Tamandua tetradactyla: one gene and its partners. The protein of the gene in region 4 purifies or fractionates together with the protein of the main gene of each other region. This does not show direct contact. Links are inferred from orthologs where the notes say so. Each region holds a gene or a part of one and is shown on either strand. Other genes may lie near its edges.

What was found.
Region 1: the proteins of ACTL6A (region 4) and PBRM1 fractionate together in Homo sapiens (co-fractionation; 4 studies listed by BioGRID and IntAct, with this or other methods). This does not show direct contact. The link is inferred for Tamandua tetradactyla from reciprocal best matches to the Homo sapiens genes ACTL6A and PBRM1.
Region 2: the proteins of ACTL6A (region 4) and ARID1A purify together in Homo sapiens (affinity purification with mass spectrometry; 5 studies listed by BioGRID and IntAct, with this or other methods). This does not show direct contact. The link is inferred for Tamandua tetradactyla from reciprocal best matches to the Homo sapiens genes ACTL6A and ARID1A.
Region 3: the proteins of ACTL6A (region 4) and SMARCD2 fractionate together in Homo sapiens (co-fractionation; 5 studies listed by BioGRID and IntAct, with this or other methods). This does not show direct contact. The link is inferred for Tamandua tetradactyla from reciprocal best matches to the Homo sapiens genes ACTL6A and SMARCD2.

The regions. Positions count from the first base shown.
Region 1 is NC_135341.1:33,174,230-33,181,935, reverse strand, and holds the start of PBRM1 (protein polybromo-1), read right to left. Parts: upstream 3,012-7,706; 5' UTR 2,952-3,011; intron 2,938-2,951; exon of another isoform or gene 2,812-2,937; intron 2,651-2,811; exon of another isoform or gene 2,479-2,650; intron 1-2,478. Other genes in the region: GNL3 (guanine nucleotide-binding protein-like 3), read left to right, coding at 3,155-3,167, 3,816-3,874, 4,282-4,419, 4,532-4,645, 4,876-4,959, 5,744-5,876, 6,701-6,813, 7,048-7,165 and 1 more. UniProt on the Homo sapiens protein: Involved in transcriptional activation and repression of select genes by chromatin remodeling (alteration of DNA-nucleosome topology). Required for the stability of the SWI/SNF chromatin remodeling complex SWI/SNF-B (PBAF).
Region 2 is NC_135328.1:199,507,585-199,515,168, reverse strand, and holds the start of ARID1A (AT-rich interactive domain-containing protein 1A), read left to right. Parts: upstream 1-4,528; 5' UTR 4,529-4,584; coding exon 4,585-5,706; intron 5,707-5,728; exon of another isoform or gene 5,729-6,657; intron 6,658-7,584. UniProt on the Homo sapiens protein: Involved in transcriptional activation and repression of select genes by chromatin remodeling (alteration of DNA-nucleosome topology).
Region 3 is NC_135332.1:5,011,484-5,019,039, forward strand, and holds the start of SMARCD2 (SWI/SNF-related matrix-associated actin-dependent regulator of chromatin subfamily D member 2), read right to left. Parts: upstream 3,023-7,556; 5' UTR 2,684-3,022; coding exon 2,468-2,683; intron 1-2,467. UniProt on the Homo sapiens protein: Involved in transcriptional activation and repression of select genes by chromatin remodeling (alteration of DNA-nucleosome topology).
Region 4 is NC_135331.1:77,893,249-77,901,302, reverse strand, and holds the start of ACTL6A (actin-like protein 6A), read right to left. Parts: upstream 3,006-8,054; 5' UTR 2,843-3,005; coding exon 2,818-2,842; intron 1-2,817.

The DNA of each region.
Region 1 (7,706 bases), on a different chromosome or scaffold from region 4:
GAATAGATAGAAAACATTCAAGTAGAACTGCTAAAGAAAGGTAATAGAACTGGAGAATATAGGCATATTAGCAAAGGCCCAGGCACTAACAGTACCTGTATTTCCTCTATTTAAAAACCAAATGCTTTTCTTGTACTTAAAGATGTCTCGCTGAGGTTCCCCTTTGCTCACATAAATGAACTGTCAATCCCAGGAGTAAAGCATGCATGCCCAATTGCTCTCTAGTTAGTAAGATCAGAGTTCAGCCACAGAGCTGGAACTCAGTGAACACATGTGGGGGACTCACATGTGACACCAAGTTCTGGCAAACTGTAACAAACAGAGAATGGCTCATGTGAATAGTCTGGAAAACTCCTCCCTCCAAAAAAATTCAGAGAAAGGCATCACTTCTTTCCTAAAATCCTACTAGTTGTTGGAAAAAGACACCACATACAATTTTACAAAGATTAAAGGAAAAAGCCTTCAACCCTTTGGGCAGGAGTTCCGAATTACCTTTATAAATAATCCAGAGAAAACCAAATGACAAAGAAAGGTACAAATTACTAGCATGGATGTATATGGTTGAGGTATGCGATAACCCAAACCTCTTGAATCATTAATTCATAATTAATTCATTCATTAATAACTCTGATAATGGAAAAAAGATACAACTCAAGGATAATTTTCAAATATTCTTAATTCCATGCATATATTTTTCAATGTATTTTGAAAATTAGGCAAGAAAGGCAGTGTGATGAGAAGATCAGAATAGTAACCCAGGTCTTCTATCTCTAATTATCTGTTTGATGATGTCTGAGTCACAACCACTCAAATCTGTTTCCTCACCTCTAAAATGAGAACAGTAAAGTCGTACATATCTTCCTTGGGTTGCTGCAACGGTGAAATAAGATTATGCACCTTTGAAACTTCAAAGCACAACAAAAACGTTAAGTTTCAACTGTAGGATTAAATGCTCCTGGGTCACAGGAACTGATTTTATTCATGTGTGTAGCCCTGGCTTATGGAATAGTAACTGGTATAGCTGAATGTTCAATCTAGCTTTTCAGTAAATGTACAAAGAGTGCACTAAGTGGATCTTTTTTTGTGGGGGGGGCATGGTTCAGGAACTGAACTGGGTCTCTTGCAGAGAAGGCAAGCATTCTACCACTGAACTACCTGTATGCCCTAAGTGCGATCTTTTTTAAAAAACAAAAACAAAAAGATCATTTATGTAGTTTAAGAGGCCTACTGGCATGTCTTTAGATATTATTTTTCCATAGAGAAAGGAAATAGATTCTGAACCTCATTTTCAAGTTGTTTTTTTTTTTTAAACTTGGCCTTAATTATAGTTGTCTAAAGGCCTGATAACCAATGATAACTTAAGGAGGGCAGTAAAGAAGCGTAACTGTATAACGTGCAACTAGGAGAATATTCCGTATAGTCAAATGGTATACTTTGACAGCTTGTAAACTTTAGCTAGTATTTCGTAATACTTAGTATGGAGATCCACACATAAAACCAAAACTCTGGAAGGCTGAAAGGAAAAAAAAAATCACTCATAATCCTACTTCTCAGAGAAAACCACTTTAACTATGGTGTTTAGAGCTTTCAGTATTTACTTTATCCCTGAGTTCCGCACTTTTTTTTTTTTTAACAAATGCAATAAACTATATATATTATTTTGCAGCTAGCCAGGGATTATCTTAGGGAAGATTCTTCCAAATGAATTGATGATTTGATAACAATCTAGCACATGAATATACCACAACTTACTTAATTTGGATAAAATATTAATATTTGAGATATTGTATACACCCCTAAAGCCAGTGAGTGGACAAAGCCCTTCCATCCATTTATAACATTTCAGATGTTTTAATCTGAAATAGTCCTCAAAAAATACTTTCCAACCTTCCATTTTGGATCTTAAAATATGAGCAATCTGTTAGTGAGTAATAAAGCAAAAACTATACTAGTCTTTTATATTTGTATTGAGCTCAATTTGTTCCCAAACTATACTTGGGAAAAGTGTACTTTTAAGTGGAAAAAAATCACTTTGGAGGAGCCCTAGATCGTAAACAATAAGTTAACCAAAATAAAAAGCTTTACTCTAACATTTGTTTCTGTAATTATTGTACGAATTTCTAAACCCAATACTGTATATTTGTCATTTGCTTTTCAGGATTTCTTCCGTATTTTTTTTTTTTTTACCACTCTTTCTCCTTTAAATCACAAATATCTTCCCCATAATAATAAAACTATGTTTCTCAGTCAAAAGAAAAATACTAAAAACAAGGAAAACCCCCAATTTTTGTCATGTTCCAGATGGGACCTGAAACATTTGGCCTCTACTATAAATAACAACCTCATGGACAAAAACACAGTCTGAACACTGTCATCTGGAAAACATAAAAAATATATCACTAGGAGAGTTTGTGTCGGAAGCGACAAGAAACAACAAAAAGGCCCTGGCCGGCGGAGGAAAGGAAGGGCTTTCCCGACCTGTCACTGGTACGGGGATTTTAGGAAACGTTGACAGCTTTGAAGACAATTCCGCGGCGAGCGCTCCGCCAGCCGACGGGAGCCGGAAAGAGGACACAGGGAGTTCTCTGGCCGCTCCGCGCCTTTGTCCCGGCCAGCAGGTGCGGCGAGGTGGCCGAGCCCGTCCCAATGCCCGCCGCCGGGCCGCGCTCCGCCCCGCACGCCCGGCCGGATCGGCGCTTCCTCACAGCCGGGGCGGGGCCTCCGCTGCCGCTCCCGCCCGTCCGGGCCCACACAAAGCCCCGGCAGCTGGCCGAGGAGGAGCGGCCCCGCCCGCCCCCGGTCCGCCCTTACCCAGCTGCTCCGCCGCCTGCAACCCCGGCCGCGGTCACCGACCGCCACGCCCCGCCCCGTGGCCGCCACGGCTGCTTTATTGCTCCTCCCGCCGCGGCCGCCGCCGTCGCTTCAGCACTCGCCGCCCTAGCCGCCCTTACCCCGCCCGGCGCCGCCGTAAAGCTAACCCGGAGATCACCAAGCGAGCCCGTCTCCTCGCGACTCTGCGTGCGCGTGCACGCAAGACTGCGGCGGCGCGCTTTACGGCGGCCGCTTTGCGTGACGTTTTCCTTTGGCCTCATTTCGCACGTGGCACTGGCAGAGAAAGGTTGTCGCTGGTGACACTGCGGCCCCCACCGCCGATATGAAGCGGCCAAGTGAGTAGTGGGGACGGGTGGAGGTGGAGAGGGTCCCCTTTCTGGTGTTCCTCAAACCCACCGGGACCCTCTTTTCCACGGCTGGCTCTGTGCGGGGTAAGCAGGTAGGCCATCTCCTCGTTCAGTGAGGAACCAAGATTGGATAGACTCTACTTGATCCTCCTTACCTGCCTGCCCGTTGTACAGAAGGAAGGCTGGGTCCCGAGAATGGGAAAGGCCGTGTCAGAGTCTTATGAGGAGCGTCTTAGCGAGGTCTTAGGCCCAATCTTTTTCCTTCTGCGGCCACGTACAGACGATCCACCTGAGCGAGTACTGAGAACTGCTTCTCAAAATCCGCTTTCCGTTCCTTCCTTTCTTATGTTTCGTGGTGTTTGAGGGAAGTGGCTATTGTATTTGATCTCTTACGCTTCCATGTGTAATCCCAGTATAATGAGGGAAGAGTAGGAAAGAAAAGTTAGAGCGCCACCTCAGATCAATGAGTCATACATTCTCTGAGATTTGAGAGTGGTGTGTGTTTTATTAAGTTCCCAGAAGATTCTTAACTTTAGGTTTGAGAGGTAATGGCTTAATGTGAAAAGGGACAATCATCGGAAGCTAAGGAATCTGATTATCTGTGGTCTAATAATTTTATGATGTGTTTCTTTGTAGAGTTAAAGAAATCAAGTAAACGCATGACCTGCCATAAGCGGTATAAAATCCAAAAAAAGGTGGGTATTGTGTTGAGGAGATCTATACCAAATACATTGTTAAACTAATTTCTGCCCACCCCTCAGACCCCCAGGGAAGTTTGGGCTAATAAGATTTAGCCTTAGGAAGTGGGTTGAATAGGTATCATGAGTAGAGCTGTGGGAAAGTACAGTAATTTGGTGATAAGACAGTGCAAAATTTAATGGACATGTTCAGTAATCCCTACAAAGAGAGATGGAGAAAGTAGTGCCACATGATTCTTTGTTTTTTGGCAGTTTATAATTATGTATGTTCTGTTAGCTCAATTAGAGCTTATTTTTGTAGGTCATCTTGCAGGTATCCCTACACTTCGACCAGATTGGTTTCTTGCATGAATCAAGGAGGAAAGTTTTTTTGGTAAAGTTATGTAATGTTTTCAATATAATAGGTACGGGAACATTATAGAAAATTGAGAAAGGAAGCCAAAAAACGGGGTCATAAGAAGCCTAGGAAAGACCCAGGGATTCCAAACAGTGCTCCCTTCAAGGAGGCTCTTCTTCGAGAAGCTGAGCTAAGGAAACAGCGGGTAAGATATATTTGTTAAAACTTTCAATGAGTGTGGGTATACATACATGTGTCTTTTCAAAGCAGTGCCAAGTCACTTTGTATTATCCATTTATTTTATGGCTTGGACACAGCTTGAAGAACTAAAACAGCAGCAGAAACTTGACAGACAGAAGGAAGTGGAAAAGAAAAGAAAACTTGAAGCTGACCCTAATGTTAAACCATCTAACGAGGGACCTGTGAAGGAGGTATGATTTAGTCTCTTTGTAAGTGAAAGGTAGAATGCTGACACTGAAATATAAGCACATACACAGGGTGAGGGCTGCTGTGCTTCTTAGAAAGAAAAGACTGAGTTCAGGCTCTGACTTAATTACTTAAATATGCAGTGCCTTTTAGTTAGCCATGGAAAATAGAGAAATAGGCTACAATTGTTGTATTTCTAATTGTGGGTCTTTTCCCCTTTTTCTTTATCACCTAGGAATTTGGGCAACACAAAGCTAAGAACAAAGCCAAGCTGGGCAAACAGAATCCAAAGAAGTTATATTGTCAGGAACTTAAAAAGGTATCTTAATCTAGCTAGGTTCATGTCTAAAAATGGTAATTAGGTTTAAAAGAATTAATTATTCCTCTTTCCTGTCCCCATGCCACAAACCTTGTAAAGGTGGAAGTAGAATCTACTTGAGCTGGGAGAATCCTTTAGGAGGTTGTCTTATGCCATCTAAGGCCTTTCCTGTTATGTTGAGCTAAGGGAACTATTTTTTTTTCCTTGAAGTGAGGAATGAAGTTTACAAATGGCTTTTTGTGTTAAAGATACAAACCATATTTTGACCCACTGGCTTTTAAGATGGAGGAAAACACATTATACAGTAGTAAAATAAGGGTTTCTAATGTGCTGTGGAAACCTAAGTGAAGGAAGTCAAGAGGGTGATGTCCTTTTGGGGTAGGTGACACCCCACCCCCACCCCCACCCCCCACTATCCCTGACCTCACTTTCCGAAGCTTATTATTCCCTTTGGATAGAACCTGATTATGCATCTCAGCACCTCTTATGCATCTCAGCACCTCTTCAAACTATAAAGTGGGGGAGGATTACAATTCAGACATTTGGGGGTGTTGCCACTTATAAAATCTACTCTGAAGAGAGGCTGAAGGCCCCTGTGCAAGCCTATATGTTTTCTTTTTCCTGTGTGAGAAATGATGAACATATGAACATTCTTCATACAAAATGAAGACATGAAATCCAACTCTGAACTCATTCATTTGCAAAGTGGATAATGCCAGCACACTTGTATTGAGAATGTTTCCAGAGTGAGTGATGTAGTTCTGATTGTTCTATCCCTTGACAGGTGATTGAGATCTCGGATGTTGTGTTAGAGGTTTTGGATGCCAGAGATCCTCTTGGTTGCAGGTGTCCCCAGGTAGAAGAGGCCATCATCCAGGGTGGACAGAAAAAGCTGATACTTGTATTAAATAAATCAGGTGAGCAAAAGGCCAGGGTGCCCTTTGTCTTGGCATATGCTCTAGTGAGGAATGAGGAAAACATCTGAACAGTCTGATTGCCACTGAAGCTGAAGACTGATAAGATCCAACTCTGACCTCAGTTAAGCCTGTGCCTGTGCTCTGCTCTCTGGTTGCCAAAGACAGTGCTAGGCAGTGAGGGGAGGGTGTTTTCCAAAGTGATTTACCTGGTTTCTGTTGTTTTTTTGCCATTCAGTACTTACCACTTGTCTTATTTAAGATTGTAAGTTTCTGTGGCTTGCCTAATGTTTGATATATTTTGCATAAGAAGTGATAACATTGTATCAAATTCCCCCTACACATAAAATAGTCGAGTCTATAATAAAGTCAGGAGCTAGGTAAATTAGAACCTGTATGATAAAGTATTTAAATAAGATGTATAATTGTGTATCTGGGTTTGAGTAACAGGAGCAGATACCTGAAAGCAGAAAGTAAAAATGGTATCTAAAAATACTGTTGTGGACAGGAAACAAATGGTTATTAGCAGAGGATAAATTCTAGAAAAAAGATTAGCTCTAGGATTAGTAAGGTTAGAATCTAGAGGTTGACTCAGCTCTGAAAGATGAGCTTGGGAAAATGGGAATAAAAGAAATACAGAAGTGCTAACATTGGGCTCTATTAAGAGTAGCATAGTATGGAATTTACCCTGTCCTCCAGTTAAATCCTTCAAGAAAAACCTGGGACAAAGCGAACTAGAATAAAACTATAGTTTATAGCAGATCTTGCACATTTCTCAACAAAATTACCACACTGAGGCATCTGTCTTATTCCTAAATTCCTACCAGATCTGGTGCCAAGGGAGAATTTGGAGAGCTGGCTAAACTATTTGGAGAAAGAATTGCCAACAGTCGTGTTCAGAGCCTCAACAAACCTGAAGGACAGAGGGAAGATGATCAAGGTACTGTTAAAGTAAAGTGTGGTTCTTATTTGGGGCATGAAATCTATTGAGTAAAAAATCTTGATATGAAAATTAAACATAAGATCCAACTCTGATTTCTTTCAAAGAGATAATCTTAAAAAGCAGTAGAGGATGATAATTAAGAGCTGGGCTCTGGAGCCAGATTGTTTGGGTTTGAAGTGGTGAGGTGTCAGATGTAGTCATATTAATTATTTGGAATTTTAACATGGGAAGGTAAAGAAGAAAGCTGCTCCATTCAAAAGTGAAGTCTGCTTTGGGAAGGAGAGCCTTTGGAAGCTTCTTCGAGGTTTTCAGGAGATTTATGGCAAAGCCATTCGGGTTGGTGTAATTGGTGAGTATTTTTCAGTTCAGTACATTTTACTTCTTACCTCTTAAGTGCCAAGATATTTAGCCAAGAAAACCTAAATAGTTGTTGCATGATTCAGATCTTTGTTGTGGCTGGGCATTGTAGGAAATTAGCTGCTGGAAAATCTTAGCATATTTGAATTGATTTACTTGTCTATTTTTTCATTACTTGAGCAAGAAATGAAGAAGCTGATTGGTCCTAGTGTTGAAGTGAAGATTCGCAGATCCAACTCTGATCTTGCTCTAAATAGCAGGCACACATAAAGTTAGGCAATGGAAATTTTATAATTATCAGCATATAAAACGTTTCATATCTCTGGATTTCCCATTTATTGATAGGTTTCCCAAATGTGGGAAAAAGCAGCATCATCAATAGCTTAAAACAAGAACGGACATGCAATGTTGGTGTATCCATGGGGCTTACAAGGTAAGTTGAGCTGTTCCATAATAGCAATATTTTAGTACAGATGTGTATATGTAACTTTAGCCTGGATATCATGAGGAAGACAATGTTCTGCTCTTTTAAA
Region 2 (7,584 bases), on a different chromosome or scaffold from region 4:
AATAGTCAGCAAGCTCACCAGTGAGAATGGTGGATGAGGAGAATGTACATATTAAATTGTGAGAGAGTTGCTACCTTTTTCCTCATGTTAGATTGACCCTGGGTATTCTGTTTTGTTTGAAACCTACCACAAATCAGACTAGCCTAGACCTTTATTTTATGTTTGGTTTTACTTTGGGAGGAGGTGGTGGTCAGGCCAATTCTTAATTTATAATGGTACAAATTAAGCTAGTTAATTTATAGGTAAGGGTATTTTATCATAGCTACTTTCCTTGGGGGGGGAGCCATATTCAAATATTAATATGTCTCAAAATGTGTTTTATATCATTATTCTGAAATGTAAATCCCCCCAAATTGCTATTTTTTAGACCTTGAGATGGCATATTTGGATTATAAAGGAACTTTACAAAAAACAAGACCTTAAGATGGGCGAAAAAGGATGTAGAGAAGGGGTTATTAGGCACCCACCAAACTTGATGCATCCTTGGTTATTCCTTTGGGATTCTAAAGGTTTTTGGCAGGCACAGTTTTACCAGGAAGGGTTTTTGAGCGCCATTCAGGCTCCATTCCATTTTTCTCGGTGTCACTCCAGTTCATATTTTACAGTTCCCGCCTGGTAGCCGGTAACATAATGAATTGCCTTGACTCTCGCTTCAATCCACTTTCCTCTCTTAATATGCAGCCCAAAGTTTTGCAGCTCGCTGTCAGATGATAGTGCTAGACTTTCACACTGATCCCAAAGCCTCCACTGGGGCTGTTTCTTAACACGGAGTTACAAACTTTAAGAAACAGACAGCTCCAGGCGGAAATCCATGCCAGACTTTGAATTCCGCTTCTGGCTTCCGTCAACTGACGGAGTTGCCCTTTTGCTCAAACTCGCTGCTCCAGTTCGCACTCGCGAGCTCCGCTGGGTGTCTGCTGTTTTGCCGCGGCTGGAATGGGTGTGGGGGCAGCAACCACCGATTCCCCGCGCTTTAGTTCAGAGCTTAAAAAGTCCCCCCCCCCCCCCGAGGAATGGGGGAAGGAAGGAGTCCTGATGAGGAGCAAAGCCTGACCTTTTGTTTGTTGAGTTTTGTATTTCAGATCTTTTGGGAAAGCAAAGCGCGAGAGAGGAAGAGCTATCCTCCCTACAAACGTTTTCCTCTCTTAACCTTCCAGGTCTCGGATCCACATTTTGCAGTTGACTGTGTGGAATCTAATAGGTTGTTCCCTTGTTCTCGGGCCCAATTCATGCGCAATGTGCAGCTGGGTAAAATGAGAGCACATCCTCTGCCATTTTCAGTCTGTTTGTCCTGGCAGCCGTACTCCCTTTACCCGGCGGCCGCGGCCGCTGGAGTTAATGTTGTGTCCAGAAACCCCGCCAGATCCTCCGGGAGGTAGATCCAGTCCACGTTTGCCCAAGTGCCGTGCGGTCGGGGACGGTGATAAGAACTCTCCTGTGTGGAGAGCAAGCGAGACTTTAGTCCGGTTTCCATGTCAACGATTCAGTCCGTATTTGCCATCAGGCTGTTGGTGGTTGAGGCGCTTTCATGAGGGTAGCGCTGTCCTAGTCCTAGTTCTCCAATCTGCGTCGGGATTCCTGAGCTGCCTGGGTGCGGGGTTAAATGGCAGGGGCCATGGGGAAGAAAACTCCACCGAGGGGAGGACTCGTAGTCCCTAGCTGGGTCTCGCAGCTCGGGCCAGCCACGTGCCCAGCTTCCTCCCCTCCCCCCCTTTCCCTGTACCCCTAGAGAGAGTTTGTGGGCTAGTTTCTAAGAAAGTTCCCTTCAGGCGTGCGATTCCAGGATGGGGGTGTAGGGCTCTAAAGGTAGGGATAGAAAAGGATCCTAAACGAGTTGGAATTAAAAAAAGAAAGAAAGAAATCCCGTGTTACCTCCCCCAGTCCAGGTGGATAGATTTTGGGCAATTCACCTAATTGCTAGATAAAAATGGTGGCTGTTTTCAAAACAATGCTCACATGTAGGGAGAGGAATTTTGGCACTTTCCATATTTCACAGCCACTGAAGAAAGGGAATGATGAGGGTTTCTTTTGGAGACATCCATTCAGGCTTCCAGATATACACTGGCTCCAAGTTTCCCATTACACTTAAGCTCTGAGGAAAATGACAGGGCAACTGCATGTAAAAATTCCTCATTTGTGTGCAGGACTCAGGACTGTTTGCCAGTTCACGGGCAAGTGGTTAATAACCAAACTCCATTTATGAGGCAGAATATAATTTGGTTTCTTTAACGTAATACACTAGGAAAGTTGTTGTCCCTGGACTATGAATGAAACTAAGGCACTGGCCCATTCCAGTGAATTGGATCTTCTTGGTAGGGTTTCAATTCTTGACTTTGGGGGAAAAAAAGGCAATGTTTTAGATTAGGAGGATGGTTTTGCCTTTTTAGTGTAGGATGCTCTAAGATTTTTTTTGGGGGGGGGGTGTTAGAAATGAGCTCAGGCTTTTGGAATTATTCACAGTGACCAGTAGCTTGGTAAGGACTCCTGCAGGGGCCTGCAGAATCTGAAAGTGCTAAGATAATGATGAAGTCTCCATTTATAAAATCTGAGGGGAAAAGAAGCTCTGGGGTCTAGAAACGCTTGTCTGGGCCTCTCTTAAGGCATCTGTGAGCCTGGTGAGGAGTTGGAATCCCCTCTGGCTTTCATAGCCTGTCATGTCAGAGCATTCCAAGTCAGCCTGAGGAGGAAAAGGCTGCTGGGCAACGCTGGAGTTTTTTTATGTATGCCTTGATCTTTTCAAATAAACCTGACCTAACTAACATATACCTAACTCCAGTTCCATCAGGTTTTCTTAGAATGTGATGGTAAACTTTAAAGAATCTTTACACTGAGGAATAAGAAACAAATCTGGGTTGCATCTGTTTTCTGAATGACCTTTTAGACTGTGACTTTTCTGTTTCTTTAAGGATAAAATTGTTTCCCTCCTTTTGGCCATCCCTTTTCTTCAGTGGTTTGTTTGAACATCAGGTACCTCCAGCCCAGGAAGCCTCTTCCACAGGCTGTAGGGGCTGCCTTTGGGTATTGATCATTGTGGGCTAAGCTCTTTTAGGAGATAGAGAAGGGGCTCATATTCTACTTGATGTCTGACTGCCATATGCCTCCAAAGCAGCTTCCATTGAGACCACTTTAAATCTGTGGTGAGCTGAGCAGCTTTGATCTCAAACCCATCCTTATTCTGATATTCTGATCCCATCACTGGATTTGTCCACAACTTGACTGCTTTTTTTAAAAGGATAAATAGACAGGAATCAGCCTTGGGGACTCCACTTCTTTTTAAAGCCACCTTCCTCTGTCCTCTAACTTTGTGACCCAAGACAAGTCCCTTCCCCTCTCTATATTTCAATTCTATGAAATGGTGATAATCTGGACCCCAAGGCCTTGTCAGGACAGGATAATGGAGGTAGGATAGCAAAAAAACAATGATCCTTAGGCCAGCTACCTAGGTAAAATGCTGGGACCCACTGCCTTACTCAGCTGGATCTTTAGAGCCGGTTTGCAGCAGAGGTGCTAAGTAGCTGCCAAGAGACCAGGCCCACTGCCAGGGGGTCAGGCCAGAGCCCTGGCGGCCGTGGTCTCGGGCTCAGGCCAATTTTGCAGCCGCGGGTAAAGTTCACGCTGCCGGCTCCCTTCCGTGCCGCCACCGGTTGGGATGGGAACGCCGGGAGGGAAGCGGCGCAGGTTCCACAGAGGTGGGAAGTCCGGGCCAGGTTTTCCCCGATGCCTTCAGCGGCGGCGCGGCCGAGCTAAAGCTACCGAGGGCCTACAGCCGCCAAGGCTTGTTCTTTCCCCTCCTCCTTTGTGAGGGGAAGGGAGAGAGTTCGTTCCGCGGCCCGCGCCCGTTCCGTGTTCCATTTCGGGTTTGCCAGGCGGCCGCGACGGCGCTGGGTAAAATGGCAGTGCTGAGCCTCGTGTCGGAGTGAGGGGGACTCGGAGGAGAGTGGGGCGCTCTAGCCACTCAGTCCGGCCGCCTGCCCGCTCGCCCGCTCGCGGCCGCACAGCAGCCTCGGCCCGAGCCGTGGCCGGGGAGGGGAGGCACGGCACCCGGCCCGCGTTCCGATTTTCCCTCCCGGCGCCCGGGTTGCTGCCGCGCGCCCTCCAGCCCGCCCGTCCCGGGTCCCCCTCCCCCCGCTCCCTCCCTCCCTCCCCGCCCCCTCCCCCTCGCCTCCCTCCCTCCCTCCCTCCCTCCCTCCCTCCTCCTTTCTCCGGCAGCAGAAAGCGGAGAGTCACAGCGGGGCCAGGCCCTGGGGAGCGGAGCCTCCACCGCCCCCCTCATTCCCAGGCAAGGGCTTGGGGGGAATGAGCCGGGAGAGCCGGGTCCCGAGCCTCCAGAGCCGAGAGCAGCTAAGCCGCCGGCGCCTCGGCCGCCGCCGCCTCCTCCTCCTCCGCCACCGCCAGCCCGGAGCCTGAGCCGGCGGGGCGGGGGGGAGAGGAGCGAGCGAGCGCAGCGCAGCAGCGGAGCCCCGCGAGGCCCGCCCGGGCGGGTGGGGAGGGCAGCCCGGGGGACTCGGCCCCGGGGAGGGGTGGGAGGGGGGGGAGAAGACGAAGACAGGGCCGGGTCTCTCCTCGGACGAGACAGCGGGGATCATGGCCGCGCAGGTCGCCCCCGCCGCCGCCAGCAGCCTGGGTAACCCGCCGCCGCCGCCCTCGGAGCTGAAGAAAGCGGAGCAGCAGCAGCGGGAGGAGGCGGGGGGCGAGGCGACGGCAGCGGCCGAGCGCGGGGAAATGAAGGCAGCCGCCGGGCAGGAAAGCGAGGGTCCCGCCGTGGGGCCGCCGCAGCCGCTGGGAAAGGAGCTGCAGGACGGGGCCGAGAGCAATGGGGGTGGCGGCGGCGGAGCCGGCAGCGGCGGGTCCGGCGCGGAGCCGGACCTGAAGAACTCGAACGGGAACGCGGGCCCTAGGCCCGCCCTGAACAATAACCTCACGGAGCCGCCCGGCGGCGGTGGTGGCGGTAGCAGCGACGGGGTGGGGGCGCCTCCTCACTCGGCCACGGCCGCCTTGCCGCCCCCAGCCTACGGCTTCGGGCAGCCCTACGGCCGGAGTCCGTCGGCCGTCGCCGCCGCCGCGGCCGCCGTCTTCCACCAACAACATGGCGGACAACAAAGCCCTGGCCTGGCAGCGCTGCAGAGCGGCGGCGGCGGGGGCCTGGAGCCCTACGCGGGGCCCCAGCAGAACTCGCACGACCACGGCTTCCCTAACCATCAGTACAACTCCTACTACCCCAACCGCAGCGCCTACCCCCCGCCCTCCCAGGCCTACGCGCTGAGCTCCCCGAGAGGCGGCACTCCGGGCCCCGGCGCGGCGGCGGCCGCCGGCTCCAAGCCGCCTCCCTCTTCCAGCGCCTCCGCCTCTTCGTCGTCTTCGTCCTTCGCTCAACAGCGCTTCGGGGCCATGGGGGGAGGCGGCCCCTCAGCGGCCGGCGGGGGAACCCCCCAACCTACCGCCACCCCCACCCTCAACCAACTGCTCACGTCGCCCAGCTCGGCCCGGGGCTACCAGGGCTACCCCGGGGGTGACTACGGCGGCGGGCCCCAGGACGGAGGCGCCGGCAAGGGCCCGGCGGACATGGCCTCGCAGTGTTGGGGGGCTGCGGCGGCAGCGGCGGCGGCGGCGGCCGCCTCGGGAGGGGCCCAACAAAGGAGCCACCACGCGCCCATGAGCCCCGGGAGCAGCGGCGGCGGGGGGCAGTCGCTCGCCCGGACCCCGCAGGTACACAGCTGAGTGGGGAGGGGGCTGGGGCTAGCGGGGTTCTGGGAGGTGGGTGGCGGCAGCGGGAAACCGGCCACAGCCGTGGGCTTCCCCCAGTCCCGGGCCCCCACTCCTGGGGACCTGCCATTGTCTGGCTCTTCTTTCTTAAAATGGCTGCCTCTCTGCCTACCTCTCCTTTCCTCCTTCAGCCTTTGTGTGGGGCTTTCACAGAGGTGTCTGCTCCCCTTCCCCCTCTCTCCTAGTTCCTTAGAACTCTGGGGGTCTTCAGAGGGGTTGTGGGGCAGAGTGGGCGGCGAAGGGCCTTGCCTGGGGTGAGCCGGGGCTGGGGACTCAGGTTAGCGATATAGGCAGTGGCAGGAGCTTCGGGAGTTAAGAGAACAGTTTTTTGCTCACCTGCCACTCCTCTCTGCCCCCTTGCTTCCTCTAGGCCGTTCCCCTTCTGTGCTTTCAAGGAGGGGCCCCTCAGGCTCGAGGGAGGGCAGGGGCCTGCTTGGAGGCCGCTAGAAGCCGGCTGCGGTTCACCCAGGACAGCCCGGGCCATCCCCGGTCTTAGTCTTCTTCGGCCCTGTGGCCCGGGCTTCTCCCTGGAAGTGCTGGTAAACAGCTGAGTGATTGGAGTAGTAAGTGCAGATTGCTTTGGTTTGGGATTTGAATTATGGAGGTAAAATCCTTCTGTCAAAGCCAGGAGACAGTTGGTCTTAGGTTGACATCCTATCTGTGATCTGATTGGCTCCCCATCTCCTGCTCTTGGCCATTTATAATTGCCTCTGATGTAATGGTACAACAATCCTGATGAGCTCATAAACTTTTACACTCTGCTTTTCTGCCAGTGATAACCCAAACCATCGCTGCCACTATCTGCCTTTTATTCCAGAGCTGAAATTGGCTGTGACCTTGAGGAGGGAGGTTTAAGCAGCAATACTGTATCAGCAGGAGCAAAGCCCCAGACAGGTTGCCCTTGTTACATTGTGCACAAAACAAAAGAGAGGCAATGGCATTTCACTTGTACCTTGGATTTATTTTGCTTGTTATGTTTTATGCAGCCTGAAATAGATGCTGTGTTGTCAGAACAGTAGCTGAGTTTTTCTCTACAATGGGTTTGCTGTTTGTTTTGGTTTTGACTTTCCTGATGGTATAAATGACTTCTTTGATGATTCTGAAGATGCATTTGTCTTGAGTAATTTCGATCTTGTTTGCTTTTCAGAATTGAAATTATTTTACTGGGCATTTTATTGAGTGGTGAATGTGAGATCTTTATTCGGGAGTAGTACTTTTTTTTTTTTTTTTCTTAGTTTGGAGAACTGGAAGCTTTTTGAGAGAATTTTGTATTAGGTTCAAGTGTTCTGTTTGTGACCTCATTCTTTGTTTACATGTTGAATCTAACACTCTTTTTTTTGTTAATTAAACTTTGGCAGAGCAGCTCAATTTAAAGGGAAGCTAATGTCTGTATTTCATGATGTTAAGAGGGATTTTCTCCTGAAGACTTGATTTGGTGAAATTTATCATTTGATCCTGTAATATAAAAAACTAGTTTTCTAATGTTTCAGTCATTTTAGAGCTTTGAAATAGAAATCGGCTAACTTTTTCTCTGCATCCCTAGGTATGTTTCTTTTTTCTTGTCTTCCAAGATATAAAGATAGGACCTACTGTGATACTTAAAAGATTTGCTTAGAAATCACAATTTTTGTACTTTTTAATGCATCCTATTTTATTTTTATTTTGCTCTTTTTCTCTCTTCATTGTGTTCTGTCTTCAAGGTTTTAATCAGGAATGTTGGGTTCTGTATGGAGCCATATATCTTTAAGAAGAGGGAAAGTGGTCCCTTCATGCTCCCTCACCCTCAGCAGTACCTAAGCTGCACCTTTGTGCTAGGAGGAG
Region 3 (7,556 bases), on a different chromosome or scaffold from region 4:
TGATCCTGATGCTCCTGGTGGCTGGGACTAAGGGCTTAAGTGAAAGGAGAGCATGCCCACCATGAGCAGAAAGTATATGGAAGTCTCTGAGGTGACACCAGCAATCCCTGCTATATGTGTATGTGTTTTCTTTTTCTTTTTTTCAAGCTCTCAATTGAATGTGATCTACAGCTAGAGCCACTATCTGGAGGGAGGTGGGTCATCACTTTCCTTTTTTCAATAAGTTTCCCTATTTGCCCATTTCTGGACCTCAAATCCCCACTCCTCAGGCTCATCTGATGAGCCCTAAGAGTCAAAAAATCCTTTTGCTCCTCAAATCTTAAGTCCTTTTTCCTGGAGGTCACACTGAACATGGAAAGAGGACAAGCAGATCCTCCTGTTCCTGAACTCACCCGAAGTAAGCTGGGTTCTTCCTCTCCCCACCTACCTCTTTTTCTACTCCCTAGAGGAGAAGGAGGAGGAGGAGGTGATGATAAGAAGCTGATGGTGAAAGCGAGGGGTAAGGGGTATGGTATGTATAACCTTTTTTTTCTCTGTTATCGTTTTATTTCTTTTTCTGTTGTCTTTTTATTTCTTTTTCTAAATCAATGCAAATGTTCTAAGAAATGATGAATATGCAACTATGTGATGATGTTAAGAATTACTGATTGTATATGTAGAATGGAATGATATCTTAATGTTTTGTTTGTTGTTAATTTTTTTTAATTAAAAAAAAAAACAGCTGATGGGATGGGAAGCCCTGGGAAACAGAAGGTCAATGCCATCCCCTAGGTCCCCACCACGAAGCCCAGGAGACCCACCCAGCCAGCTTGGCTTTGTCACAGGCCCAAGACCACTCCCCACAAAACATCCTTACAGGGGCTTTCCCAAGGGCATACTTCCCATGGGTTGTATGCCAAGGGAACTGGAAAAATCCCTATCTGCTTCCAGGTCCCTCCCAGGCAGAAGGCCCACAGGGAGACTCACACCCAGGTCTCAGTGAATAGGTCCAAGGGCTGGAATAACTGATGTCGGGACTGTTCAGGGACATCCTTGACCCCTGAATGCCCAAGGGGGAGGGTATGATAGGAAAGATAGACCCTAGCTGGAGGGTTTGGAACCAGGTCTATCTCTGTCCCAGACCCAGATCTTTTATTTTATTTGGGGGGAAGAAAGAGGATAAAAAGTGAGAAACATCACTGTCCCCAGTTAACCATCTCTTTAGAAATTGAGGGCCATGGGGCCCTGGTGGAATGCACACTCCCTACTCCATGAAGCTCCATTTCTGGGACCTCTGCCCAATGACTTGAGGAGCCCCAAGTCATTGGGGCTTTGGGAGAAGCCAGCACCGAATGCTGGGGCACAAGAGTTGGGATATGGCATTGTCAGAACATGAAGGCTAAATGGAAGTGCAGGTGGCCAAGACAAGGACAGACACAATTTCCAAGCATTCTGGTAATAACCTGAAACAATGGACTAGGGGGCTGATGAGACCCACCAACAGGGTCCGGTAGAGTTCTTCACACTGACTCTAAAGATTGAGGCTTCTCAATAGCCTTTGGAACTGGAACCTGAGAAGCTCTCTTTCCAACGCTCAAAAAGGTCAAGGCAATAGGACCCTTTGAGGCAATTCTCCCAGGATCCTCGGCCTTAGACTGGCAGGGTTCAGTGGAGCCGCTCTGCTCCTCCAGACTAATCAACTCCTGGACACTATGGCAATAGGCAGGAAGCCAAAAAGAGAGTCTTCCAGGAATGGTCTGTCACTGGGCTGGGCCTCTCTTCTTCCTCAGGCCTGGCTGCCACCATCTCTGGTCTTGGGATATCCCCAGTAAACACTCTACTCTGACCCAGGAGTAGTGTCTCCCTCTGCACAGGGGTGAAATCCCTTACTCTAACCTCAGCCTCCAGGGACAGTGAAGTCAGGCCTTCCTTATCACTAAGCAGCTGGGAGCCATCTCAGACACAGTGGGCCAAGGGGACAGGGGATGCTAGAACGCTGCCAGCTCCCAACCAGAAAAAACAAGACAGACTTGGGGTGCGACCAAGGCCAGTGTAGGGTAACTCTGGTTGCTCAGTGAAGGCCCCTGAGACTCCCCTTTTCCAAAACTTTCTCCTCACTTCCCAGGACCTTTATACGCTAGGATCTACACTAGACTTCTCAGAACCACCCACCCACACACCATTCCTCCACACAACTGCTCCACCTCCCAGTTACCAAGTAGAGTCTTTACCGAGGGAAGGCCCCAGGCCCTCCCAACTGTTTCAAACGTTCCACCCCCGAATCCCTCTTAAACCTTTCCCCAAACTCCACCACCATCTAACCGCACCCTGAGGGTCCTTGGCCTTGTCTTCCACCATGTCCCACGAGCACCTCATGCAGAGCCTCTGTGCCTTTGCCCAGCAGGCTTCCCCAGGGCCTCACCCGGGGCCCCCGCCACCCCTGCCCGCAGCGCCCTCGTGGATCTGCTTACCCACCCACCCTTCTCACCTGGTACGGCGCTGCAGGGCCCGCGGGCCCCATGGGGCGGAAGGCGGCGGTCCCAGGGCCCCCCACGCCTCCAGCCGGCCCAGGTCCCCTGAGCGCTGGTCCAGGCAGCATGCCGGATCCCGCGGGAGGAGGCGGCACCCCCAGGGCCGCGGCCACCGCGCCGCCGCCGGGACTCAGTGGGGGCAGCGGGAACCCGCCCGCGCCACGGCCCGACATCGCTCCGTCCCCTCCGCGGTGTCTCAATCCGGACTCCGGGCTGCGCGCCGAGTCCGCTCCGTGCTCCGCGCTCCGGGACTTTCCGATCTAAATTCCGGATTCTGCTAATCCGGGTACTGGGGTTTGTTGATCCAGGTTCCGGGATTTACTAATACAAGTTCACGAGTTCCTCACTGACCGGATTTGGGCCCCGGCCGATACTGATTCCGATCCTGTCTAAGAAACTCCGGATCCGGGATCTGCTACGCACCAGCCTGCAGTCCCCGGCCGCCGCAGGTTTGGCCGCGGGAGTCCGGGGGCCTGCAACTCCTCACCCCGCCCAACCCCGACCAGCACCAGGCCCCGCCTATGCCTAGCCGCCCAATGCTTGGATGCCTCCTCAAATCCCGCCCCTCGCGAGAACCGCCCCTAGCAGGCACCGCCCCTAACCGCCAGCCCCGGCGTCCCGCCCGCAGCCCTTGATCCGGCCCTTCGTCCGAGGGGCGGGAGGGGAGACGTCGCACTGAATCGCCGAGGAAAGCGCGAGGGTCAGAGATCGAAGGTCATGAACGACTTCAAGAGTGACTGAAGAGTGAATGGGGGAGTACTCTAGTGTTAACCGCCTTACCGAATTGCCCGACCATATTCCATGAAAATAGTTTGTCATGTCTCCTTTTTACATTTTCAACGTAAAAGAACTCAACCGAGAGCTGCCCTCTGGGGCAGAACAGGCTGCCAAGTCCATTTTCTTAAAAAGCCCTTCCTGGTGGCCCGGAGCTGCCAAGGGATATCGGTGGTTCCAGACCCCATCCAGCTGTGTGAATGGTTTGCTTGGCCAAGCGTTGAATTTTTATCGCACATTTTAAACATGGCTCTGCCTCACTTTAAGGAAGCCTACTATTTTATTCCACATAAATTTTTTCTAGGTGAAGGAAATTTGCGTTATAAAAAACCACCCTGGAGTTCAATAAGGTGTTTCTCTAGTTTTCTTTAACACTTAATTCTCAAGAACTCAACACCTTTTCAGAAACTACTGTCTTGTCTTAGTAGGTATTAAAATTGCTTTTGGTTTCAGCTGCAACAGGGAGCCTGCCTTGGTGGTCTGGGGTCTCTTCACCATGTTACAAATCCGCGCATCTCAAATTTTGAGCATAAAAAACGCGTGGGGTTTGTAGATTATGGTTCATTACGTCTGGGGTAGGTCCCAAGATTATGCATTTGTAATAGGCTGTCAGACAAAGTGTGCTGTTGGGACCACACTTTGAGTAGCCAAGATAGAGACTTTCACTATGTGGCCCTCTAACCTGCTTTGTTTTCATCTCCAGCCAAATGATAGCTTCCCTCCGAGCATCAGGGTAGCCCAGATCCTAGTATGGTACACTCCTTCAGTGCTTTTTAGAAAGGTATGCTGATCTGTACCTCCTTGTATCTTTCCTCCAGTAATAAATCTGGCTGCTGCTGTTTTCCTGCCTCTTAGTCCTCTCAGAGATCCCGCTCCTCATTCTCCTGAAAAGTTGATTTACCTCCCAGCCTGGGGACATGCCACAGGAACTGTCACAGCTCCAGTCATTGAACCATGGCTCCTCTCCCCAGCCTGTAAAGTGGATTAAGAATTCATGATGAGGCAGATTACGTTGTTTACTTCGAGTCTTTCAAGCTTGTTGAACAGTTCTCAACAAAGTGGTGGAGAATCAGAATCTCCTGGGGAGCTATTCCAAAATATTCCTGCCTCCCTTCCATGCCTACCATTCAAATCCAGTAGGGGCTGTGGGAGGAGACTCCCAGTATTACATTTTAAAAATAAACTCCCCAGTAATTCTGATATGATCCTCCTTGTAGAGAACCACTACTCTGGAAAAGAGGCAAGCTAATAAATGCATTTAAAAACATAAAATAGGGCGGTGCGATGGTGGCTCAGTGGCAGAATTCTCTCCTGCCATGGGGGAGACCTGGTTCATTTCCTGGTGCCTGCCCATGTAAAAAAAAAAAAAAAAAAACAGATAAAATAGTTAAGTGTAACCAGATCCAGTTAATCCTCTGCCTGAACTCTCCCTAGTTCCCCGTGCTTAGATCGATTGCCACACTCCCTACCATGCACATAAGGCTCTGCAGGATTTGGCCTCATTTTAAATCACCGCCTGGTGTTTTCTAAGCACGAGCCCCAATGGTACTCTTGCAGTTTCTCAAACTGGCAAGCCGCTTCCCACCTCAGAATCTCTACTCACAGCTCTTCCTTAACTTTTCTAAGCTCTCCCCTTACTTTGTTTACTTCCCACATAGTGATTATCACAATGTGTAATTACTTATTTAAGTATACTCTGATTTACTATTGATCCGGCTCCCCCACTACAATATAAACTCCATGAAAGTGAGAACTGTGCCTCTCTTGATCAATGTCATAAGCCACTCAACAAATGTTTGTGAACAAAGGAATGAGCTTAAGTGTAGTGGGAGAAAATGGTAAACATATACAGCCAGAAATGAGTTAATTGCTGTGAAAAAATATCCTCAAGGAGCTGGGAGGCAGAGATAGCGGAGGGATTAAGAAAAATTTCCTAGAGGGTAGACTCAGAGAATAGCTAACATTTATTAAGCATATGTGCCTGTACGTATTAGCTCATTTAATCTTCAAAACGTATATGAGGTAGGCACTATATAGGAGATAGATATAATTTTTACCTCTATTTTACAAATTGAGGCAGAGAGATTCAGTAACGTGCCCACCCTCACCATGATGGTGCTAGAATTCAACCTGGTTCCAATTAGGCTCTAGAATCCACAACCCAAGCAATTAACCATACATAATATTTATTACCTCTGTTAACAGTCATATTTCTAGTCAGTTATTACTTGCAAATAGTGTTCAAACTAGAAAGTAAGTGCCTTGGGGACTCAGAGAAAAGGGAATTGATTAGTATCATAATCTGGTCCTGATTAACCAGAAAATGTTTTCTGGAGAATTTTGTTTCAAAGAAAATACCAGAGGTAGTCACTCAACAGGCAAATAGGGTTTGATATCTCCCCTTGGGACAGTTCAGGAACTTGTGAAAAGAGGTGATAAGTTACCTCTGAAGACCTGATAGAGATGGGAGAAAGGGAGAGCACCTCACAAAACCTAATGATGCAGCCAATTTCGGGACTTGAAACCATGGAGGCAGCATTCCTTTGTTCCCAAGGCTTGGAATATCTTTTTTGCTTTCTCCTTTCTTCCATCAGTATTTATTCTTCTTACAGCCCACGTTTTGGTGATTCAGTTAAACAACTTTTATTGAGGCCTCCAATGCTCCTAGTCTTATACTCTAGAGGATGGGCTTTCTTATAACTTGGCCCTCCTGACCCTGTTGGATCTACAGATGCTCAAAGAGACTGAAATGGAAGTAAAGTATTTAATACAACCAGAGCCAAATACAACAAAAGGACACTTCCCAGTGTGGACTCTGTGGTTCCCTGTGGTGGGAAAAATAATCCCCAAAGAGTTCACCAAAGAAAGACATTGGGAACAAGATGGCCTAATCCGTCCCCCAGAGCAGGCCAGCAGAGGATCACTGCTCACTATGGAGGTCCCTTAGGAGGTCAGAATTTCGGGAGAAGCAAGGCAGATAGTCAGGTCATGGCAGAAAACACTTGCCAAGATCCAGCCTTGCTGGGGTCATACCAAGAGCCTGTCTCCATTGAAGCATCCACCTCCCACATGGATGTGGTGGTACAGCAGGCCCTGGGCACAGCCCAGCCAAAGTGGCAGAAGGGCTATATACTACGGTAAAACAGCCTATTTAGCATTTGAGAAATATTTACAGCATGTGAGAGCAACTTCCATATGCCAGTCCTTGACATAGTCTAGTAGAGAAGATACATGTATAAATAAATAATTTCCTTATGTGATAAAGATATTTACCAGGTGCCATAGGAAAACAGAGATGGCTTTAATGGGGAAAGAGATTAGTGAAGGCTTCCTGCAGGAGATTATATTAAGGAGGTTAAGAGTCAGTTAGGCAAAGGAGAGAGAATAAGGACTGAAGCCAAGAAATAGTACATGGTGAGGAGAATTAGAATAAGTTTGGCTGAATTGTCAAGTATAAGACAGGGAGGAGCTCCTCTGTGTGCACATTATGGCCACATAGTTTAGAAGGTAAAATACCTGAAGACTAGAGACTTCCAATGGTGGGAGCAGGTACTTGTACATAAGAAGTAGGCTTCAGATCAACACTCTGGAGCCAAGGGCTGGGGCATGATTCTCCAATTCATTCTCTCCCCAGAGAGAACCAGAGTTCCAACACATTCAGAGACCTGGGTGACACTGTGGTCTCAGTGGCCTCTTCCTGATCGCTTTGGAAGTCACCTGAAGAACAGAATACTCTGACATCAGACCTGCTCAGAGGTGTCCTCCTGGTTCTCGAATTTGGACCCAGAGCTGCTGACAGAGCTAAACAACAGGCTACTAAGATAGAAGAAAGATAAGGAAAGGAGTCTGTACAGGGATCTCTCCCTCCCTTACTGGTCCCTAAATACCCATAATACCCATGGCCTTGTGATTCCATCCTTACCTCTTTATTGTCGAGACAAACTCATCTACTCCCATAACTTCAACTAATGCCTATTTTCTGATGACCCTAAATTTCTTAATTTCAACCCTACGTCTCTCTTGAGCTGCAGATACATTTTTCCAACTCCCTGATAGTTGTTCCATAGGAAATTTAAACCCATCTGTTCAAAATCAATATCTCATTTTTCTTACTTCCAGTCTGCCTCTCCTCCCTGGGCTTCATCTTGGTTAAGCCATGAAGACATGGCAAAAGGCCAACCCTGCCTTGCTGAGACATTCAAACTGGTCTTGCAGGCAATGGAAAGCTAAGAAGATGGAGTGACCCACCAGATACGCAGGGTAGCTGAAACC
Region 4 (8,054 bases):
ATATTAGGGACACCCAAATCAATAGGCCAAGCCTTTGATCTTGAGGCTTACTCTTGTGAAGCTTAAGTAGGTAGCAGAGAAGCTTAGCCTACCTATAGGTATACCTAAGAGTCACCTCAGAAGGACCTCTTTTGTTCCTCAGATGTGGCCTCTCTCTTTCTAAGCCCAACTCTGTAAGTGAAATCACTGCCCTCCCCCACGTAGTGTCATCCAGGGGTGAAAGTCTCCCTGACGATGTGGGAAAGGACTCCCAGGGATGAATCCCGACCTGCACTGTGGGATCAACAGTTCTATCCTGACCAAATGGGGGGAAAGAACTGTAATTAATAAAGTATCAGTGGCAGAGAGAGTTCAAATAGAGTCGAGAGGCTACTCTGGAGGTCACTCTCAAGCTTCAGTTAGACATATATCTATCATACCTTGCCAAATCCCAAAACCATTCCAGCCAATCCTAAAGAACACCTAGGGCAATATATAAGATCCTACAAAGGTTCCATGTACTGGGGTAACTTTCTAAAAACCTAACAACCTCCAGATAGGTTCCTGGACCACATAAGTCCTGAAACCTAAAGGGCCCAGCCTCTCCAGAACATCGCTGGTTCCATCTCCCTACCCCTTATTACTGACAGTCTCCTCCAATACGAAAAAGTTAGAATGGCCATAGCTCAAATATCCCTAAAGAGTGGGACAGAAAGATCAAAGGTGATGGTGGAGTTATACAGAGAAAGGTAGGGTTTAACAAACGAGTATGACTGCAGAATCATTAAACTGATATTTTAGTCTCCAGTATATTAGAGCAGCTAGAAGTAAAAACCTAAAATTGTGAAATTTTAACCCATACCAAATTCTGAAACCTGTTCTACAACTAACTGTTGTGCTGTGCTTTGAAAGTTATTACTTTTCTGTATATATGTTATTTTTCACAAAAAAGAAAAAAAAGTCAATTGTGATTATAAAAAAATATATATATTTATTCTTCTAGCCCCTTATACTCTGGTGCAGAAAGAAGGAAAAATCTGAGAGGATGATATGGTAGTCCATGACAAACTCTGGGATCTGAACCACTTGTGGAAGAGTGCTTTAAAAACTATTGCTTTTTTCTTTCTTTGCTTTGTATATATGTTATATTGTACAATAAAAAGTAAAAAAAAAATAGTCTAGTAAGTTATTTACACAACATTTAGGTGAGAGGTTTGCTTGCTTTTACATGGACAACATGTGTAAAAGGGAGACCCACTCTAAATGTTGGAAACAGTGATAGCTCAATCATAAAACATGCATTTATTTTTTGTGAATTCTAAACACTTAACTGTGAAATGATCTTTAAGACTCTACATAAGCCAACAAGACACAGGATGTTTATTACAAATACCTAAACCATACATGACCCAGTTTTTCTCTCAAGCTTGCATCTTCAGGCTAGGGGGAGAGTAATTGTGAGGATCCACGATGCCTTCTCCAAATTCCCATCATTCAGATATCAAAATCAAATAGGTAAGTGGAGAGAGAGCAAAGGTCTGTACTCCACTCAGAAGAGACACAAACTACAGGCCAAAAACTACTGAGAACTGTGAAAACATTATTTATCCCCTACTCATAAAATGTCATCCTTTCCAGAAACAATAACAGTAATACTTCCAATTTGTCTCCTTGTCCACTAACTCATCAAACAATGCAGAACACAAATCACAGACATCAGAGCTTCAAGTCTGCCAGTGGTCTTCTAAAAATGAAGGCTCAGTGGAAGGCTGAGGATGGGGCCTGAGATTCTGCGTTTCCAAAAAGCTCCCAGGTGATTCTGGCTGTTGGTCTATGCATCACACCGGCACCCTTAGGTCACACGTGTTCCTAAACAGACCTGCCCACGTAACTCCAGAGAACCCAGTGAACATGGCCAGGCGTTATTGGAGGACATGAGGCCACGCCCATTCCACATGGATCTGGAGGAGGAGGAGGAGTGTGAAGAGGACCAGGAGGCAGAGAAAGAGAGGGAGGGAGAGGTGGAGAAGGAGAAGGGGGAGGAGGAGGCAGAGGAGGGGGGAGAAGGAGGAGGAAGGGTGGGAGAGGAGGGAGAGGAGGAGGAAAGAAGGAGCAGGAGGATGAGCAAGCCCTCTATGTGAACTAACAGGAGGAGAGAGAGGTGAGGGAGGAGAAGGAGTAGGGGGAGGAGGAAGAAGGAAGGGGAAGAGCGGGAGGAGGAGAGGGAGGAGGAGGAGGCCACTCCACTTGGGCCAACAGAATGGGGAGGAGTAGGGGCAAGAGTAGGAGGCCGCTCCAGGCGGACACACAGGAGGTGGAGAAGTAGGGGCAGGGGGAGGCGGGGGAGAAAGAGGCGGCGGAGGAGGAGGAGGTGGAGAAGTAGGGGCAGGGGGAGGACGAGGAGGAGAACGAGGAGGAGGAGGCGGAGGAGGTTGCGGCGGACGAGTAGGAGGACGTGGACGAGGACGAGGACGAGGAGGATGAAGACGAGGAGGAGGAGAATGGGGAGGAGGAGCCCGCGCTGTCCGGTGCGCCCGCCCCTCCGTCGCGCGCCCTCGCTAGGCCGGGAGGCAGCCCTCCGCCCAGGCCTTTACACACCAGGACCTAGAAACACTGGGCGACGCGGCCGAGCGCGCCCCTGAAGGGATGGGGACTGGAGCCGGGCTCGGACCCTGGTAGGCGCTGCTCGCCCCTACCCAAGGTCGGCGCCTGCTCCTCGAGAGCCGGGGCAGGGGCGCTGGGGTCCGGGGTGAGATCCGAGGGGGCGGGAGGGAGGGCCGGCCGGCGGTTACACAGCCCGCGCCACACAAGGTGCTCTCCCCGGCCGCGCTCACTCACCTCCCCCGTACACGCCGCCGCTCATGGCCGCTGCTGGCGCGACCCCTACGCGGAGCCGCCAGGTGAAGGGACGTGTCCGGCTGAGGCTGGGAGGCGCTAGCCCCCTCCCTTAACTTCACAGCCGCCCCTCAGCAACAAAGCGGCGCCGCACACCGGCGCGCAATCACACTTGCTGGCTCTTCTCATCAACCAGTCGCGAGCGGGCCAGCCTTTTCCGCCGGCCAATCAGAACAAGGCTTGCTGTGTCCCTGCGACAGCTCCGTTAGTTTAGCCAATCGAAGGCCGCCATAGGGGCGGGGCGAGGGGGGAGAGCGACGGAAGGGCAGAAAGTTAGGTTGCGGAGCTGAAGAAGGCGGGACTTAGCAGGGTGGGCGGGGCCGAGGGAGCCTGAGAAGGAGGAAAGAGGAGGGAGGTGGGAGTTGAGGGGGGAGGGAAGGGCGGGAGGGAGGATGGAGGGGTGGTGAGGGGAGGGAGGGAGAGAGAACCGGAGGGGAGGGAAGGAGGTAGGGCGGAGGGCGGGGGGGCGGAAGGCGGGGGGCGGAAGGCGGGGGGCGGGGGGGGGGGGGGGGCCGCCCAGGGCAGCCGAGGAAGGCAGACCTCCGGCATCGAAGTCTGAGGTTGAGACGCTGCCTGTCCCTGGATACGGCAAACGGTTGTCGCTCTGCTGCTTCTCCAGGCTGGCAGCAGTTTGATCTCTAAAAACGCCCAAATCCGCCTTCAGTCTTTTACCGTTGACTTTGGTGTTACTTGTAGGTTTTTAATAAACGTCTTTAATTAGGTTGAGGAAATTGCCTTGAATACCTAGTTTTCTGAGAGTTGACATGACCATATGATGTTTCATTCTTTTTTCAGTTTGCTGGAATAGTGAGTTTCATTTATTGATTTTCAAATATTGAATCAACTTTGTGTTCTTAGGATAAATCCTTCTTGGTTATGATGTATCTTCCTTTTCGATTGCTTAATTTGGCTTGCAAATATTTTGTTTAAAAGTTTTAAGTCTGAATGGAATGATATCTTATTGTTTTGTTTGTTTGTTAATTTTTTTAATTAATAAAAAAATTTTAAATAAAGTTTTAAGTCTGTGTTCGTAAAATATTTTATTCTTTAAGAAAGAAAGATGCCCAAATCTGTTCATGTCTCTCCATTGCTCACACCTGTGAGATAGTTGCATAGCCTTCTAGCTGAAGTCAGTTCTGAAATTGGCAGGTCTAGAATCTATACTTAGGGTTATTCTTAAACTGATGAAAATTGAATACAGACTCATGAGTGATGGTGCTGTAGGGTGGCAGGAAGTGATGGAGAATGGGGTGGGAAACAAAACTAGTGAGAAAACCCTGGCCCATTCACTTTACCCAGTAGGATTGTATCACAGTATATTATATCACTTAAGAAATTTCCATTGACCCAGTGAGATGATGCAGGGGTTAAGCAAACTTTGGCCCATGGGCCAGAGCCCAACTGTCATCTGTCTTTGCATGGCCTGTGAGCTAAGCACTCTTAAATGGTTTTAAAAAAAAAATTGTTCTATGATGTGAAAATTATATGAAATTCAAATTTCAGTGACCATAAACTAACTTTTAATGTGATACAGCCAAACATCCATTTATGGCTGTATTCACTCTATCCAGGCAGAGTTGAGTAACTAACAGAGACCATGTGGTCCACCAAGCCTGAAATATTTACTAGGAAAAAGTTTGTTTAGTCCTGAAACAATGCATGTAACAAACTGAGCACAGTACACCTCGTTTAATAGTTGTCCCTTATTTACAGCTCTTATTCTAGCATATCAAATCCCCAAATCATTTTTACTTCCACTCTGTTTTTATGTTTGACTGATAAAGCTGATGACCTATAAAACATTGTGATCGTAAAATTGTGGAATTGTAACCCATACCAAACTCTGAAATCTGTTCTACAAGTAACTGTTGCGATGTACTCTGAAATTTACTGTTTTTTTTTGTAAATCTATTATCACAAAAAAAAAAAAGAAAAAGAGAGAGAGAAGGAGGAGTATAGCAAAGAAATAGGATTTAACAAATGAATATGACTGCTGAATCATTATATTGATATTTCTTTTGGTCTCCAGTGTCTTGGAGCAGCTAGAAGAAAAAAACAAAAAATTGTGGAACTGTAACCCATGCCAAACTTAAAAATCTGTTCTATAACTATTTGTTAAAATGTACTTTGAAATTTATTGCTTTTTTATATATATGTTCTATCTCACCTAAAAAAATTGTGATGGGTTGGTCTTGAATAATTAAATATTGAAGAGATAATATTTGTGAATTTATAATATGCTACAATCCATTTAAATTTTACATTCAAATGCATAGTAATTCATATACTGTAACTTAAATTTGATTTTATATATGGATATTGGTCATCAAGACTATCTCCCATGCATGTAGGAGAACATATTCTAGAAAAAAAATAGCTGTCTAGTCTGGCAAAGAGTGAAATGTCTGTCCTACCAGTTCAGAGTTACCAGAAACGAAACAGATCAGCAGTGTTGACAACTCCCCCACCCTCCCTTGAGTTGCAGTGCTCTAAAGGGAAGTTTGAAATGCTGTGACTGTTTCCTGCCACCATGCCCACACCAGGAGCAGTTCAAGATGTACTCAAAAGTTATGCTTGGGTATTTTTGCTTTGAAAGGAAGGATTTTTTTCCCCATTAGATAATTTGGAAAAATATTTAAAAACAGATCCTTACCTCTAGGTCAGCTTACTCCTTCATGTATCATTGGACTCTTGTTTCTATTTAATAATAAACCATTGAAATGAACTTCAAATGAAATTAACTGCACAGTATATCTGATGTGTCAGGGCTGATCAGATAAAAGTGCACACTTAAGCCTTTCATAAAATTTAATCACTAAACAGTGTATTATGGCATGAAGATGATTGGCCCTGAAGTATTGAATTGTTGGAAAAAAGGAAAATTGAGAAATAAGAAACCTATTCAGCAGCCTAAGAGAACAATGCTGGGGACTGCACATTCTGTGTAGTACTGACATTGTTTCCTCTGAGGCAAGACTTACAGTGTGCAAGCTTGTTTTCTTCTGTTCTTCCCAACTAGGAAAATTTACAGGAAATATGTAATAAGACAAATACAACAGAGACTCAGCAGAATACAAGTACATACACACACACAATCAGAGGTATTTTTGCATCAATATTTTTTCTGTAACCTAATACCTTCTTGCTAAAATTTCGGCTCAGCCTGCGTTAATGTTGTCAATAACAGATTAAACAGCAACAAGGACTCAAGGTTATTTCCTGGTATTCAGTCCTCGTGGGCATAACGTATCAAAATAATCAATGCTGGGCGGGCCACGGTGGCTCAGCAGGCAAGAATGCTTGCCTGCCATGCTAGAGGACCCGGGTTCAATTCCTGGTGCCTGCCCATGTAAAAAATAATAATAATAGCAATCAATGCTGCAGCCTCCTCCTCCCTCTCTGAGACACAATATTAGGTATGCCAACCTGAAAATAAAAGTTTAAATAACATGTATGCAAACTTATGTAGCCCCAGAAGGCGTTCAATGATTGATTCTCTATCTAGGTCTATAAAAATGAATGTCCATTCAGAAATCTTTTATAAAATCCAGTCATCAAGAATTCCCTCCGTACCTGGGTGCAATACTCGGTTTTGCCTCACTGGGTCGCTGTTCCCCAGTACTTGTAAATTTGTACCAGGCCCGCCTACAGTCGCGTGAACCTGCACCGCTTTTGTCACCAGCCCAGTCAGCGCTCCGATGATGGAACTACGGCACTCATTACAAAATGCTGCTGAGTTTATCCTTTGTGGGCTTCGTCCTTTAAGTTCAGAGTTGGGAAAAACGAAGCTTTCCTGTCATTTAATTTTGAAACTGTCATTAATACAGGCTATGAAAGGAATAGAGTTTCGTCCTACTAAGACAATTTTTGGAAGAAATGATGCCCAAACTTAAATACATCTAGAATTATTTTATGTCGTGCTGCAAAATACATGGCATTAGCAATTCTGAAAAGCAAATTTTAATATAGAGTGTTTTGTGTAGACATAGGTATGTGTAAAGACTACTTAGTTATAAATGCCATCCTCTATTTGCTAAAGTTCCAAAAGTAAAACACCTATGCAAGCACTCCTACATTCCAGAGCAAACATCTGGAATCTAGAGTTTTTCAGCCATAGAAATATGATCAATCAAATTCACACGTCTTTTTGCCATTAAAATAGTTCTGCTAACCATTTCAATAATATGATGTAGATATGTGAAAAAGAAAACGAACGTATATTTACTTTATAGCACACTAATAGGTTTATTATAGTATTAACGTTGTGGTCCTGGGGACGTGGGGGTGGGATAAAAAGGGAGAAAAAAGATGAAGGGTGTCATGGTCAGGATCATGTGTCAACTTGGCCAAGTAGTGGTACCTGTTTGTCTGGTTGGGCAAGTGCTGGCCTGTCTTTTGCAATGAGGAAATTTCATAGAATTAGATCATGATCACATCAACTGCATCCACAGCTGATTCCATTTGTAATCAGCCAAGGGAAGTGTCTTCTGCAATGAGTGATGCTCAATCTAATCACTGGAAGCCTTTTTAAGGAGGATTCCGGATAGACAGGCTCTCTTTCTGCTTTGGCTGGTGAACCTCTCCTATGGAGTTTGTCCAGACCCTCCATCAGAATCGTCAGCTTCACAGCCTGCCCTGTGGATTTTGGACTCTGTGTTCCCACGGTCATGTGAGCCGCTTTTATAAATTTTATATTTGCGAGTGTTCCCTGTTCATTTTGTTTCTCTAGAGAACCCTAATACATCTTTGTACCAGGAGTGGTTCTTAAGAAACAGAATCTTAAAAATGGGTTTTTATGAATGGTTTTCTACTCTGACTGGACTCAGAGGCACTAAGGACTCTGATTCCCATAAGCAGAATGACACTCCCAATCCATGGAGTGAACTGGCAAAAGAGATAGTCAAAATATCGCCTTCAATTCTCCTAATGCTTCACTTGTACAAAGCCAAGCTCTCGGGGATAACGTTTTTGACACCTTTACAGAGTTTTGTGGAAATAAGAGATATAGAGATGTTGGCTGGTTGTTGTTAGATACACTGGCTACATTAAGGAGTGAAAGGGATGGGCTTAAGGCTTCAAACGAGAAACTTAAGCACTGTCAGACAGATGTAGAAGTTTCTATGAGTGTCCTGAAGGAAAATCTTATTTCCTATAGCCGTAGACTTAAAATTTCTGAAAAT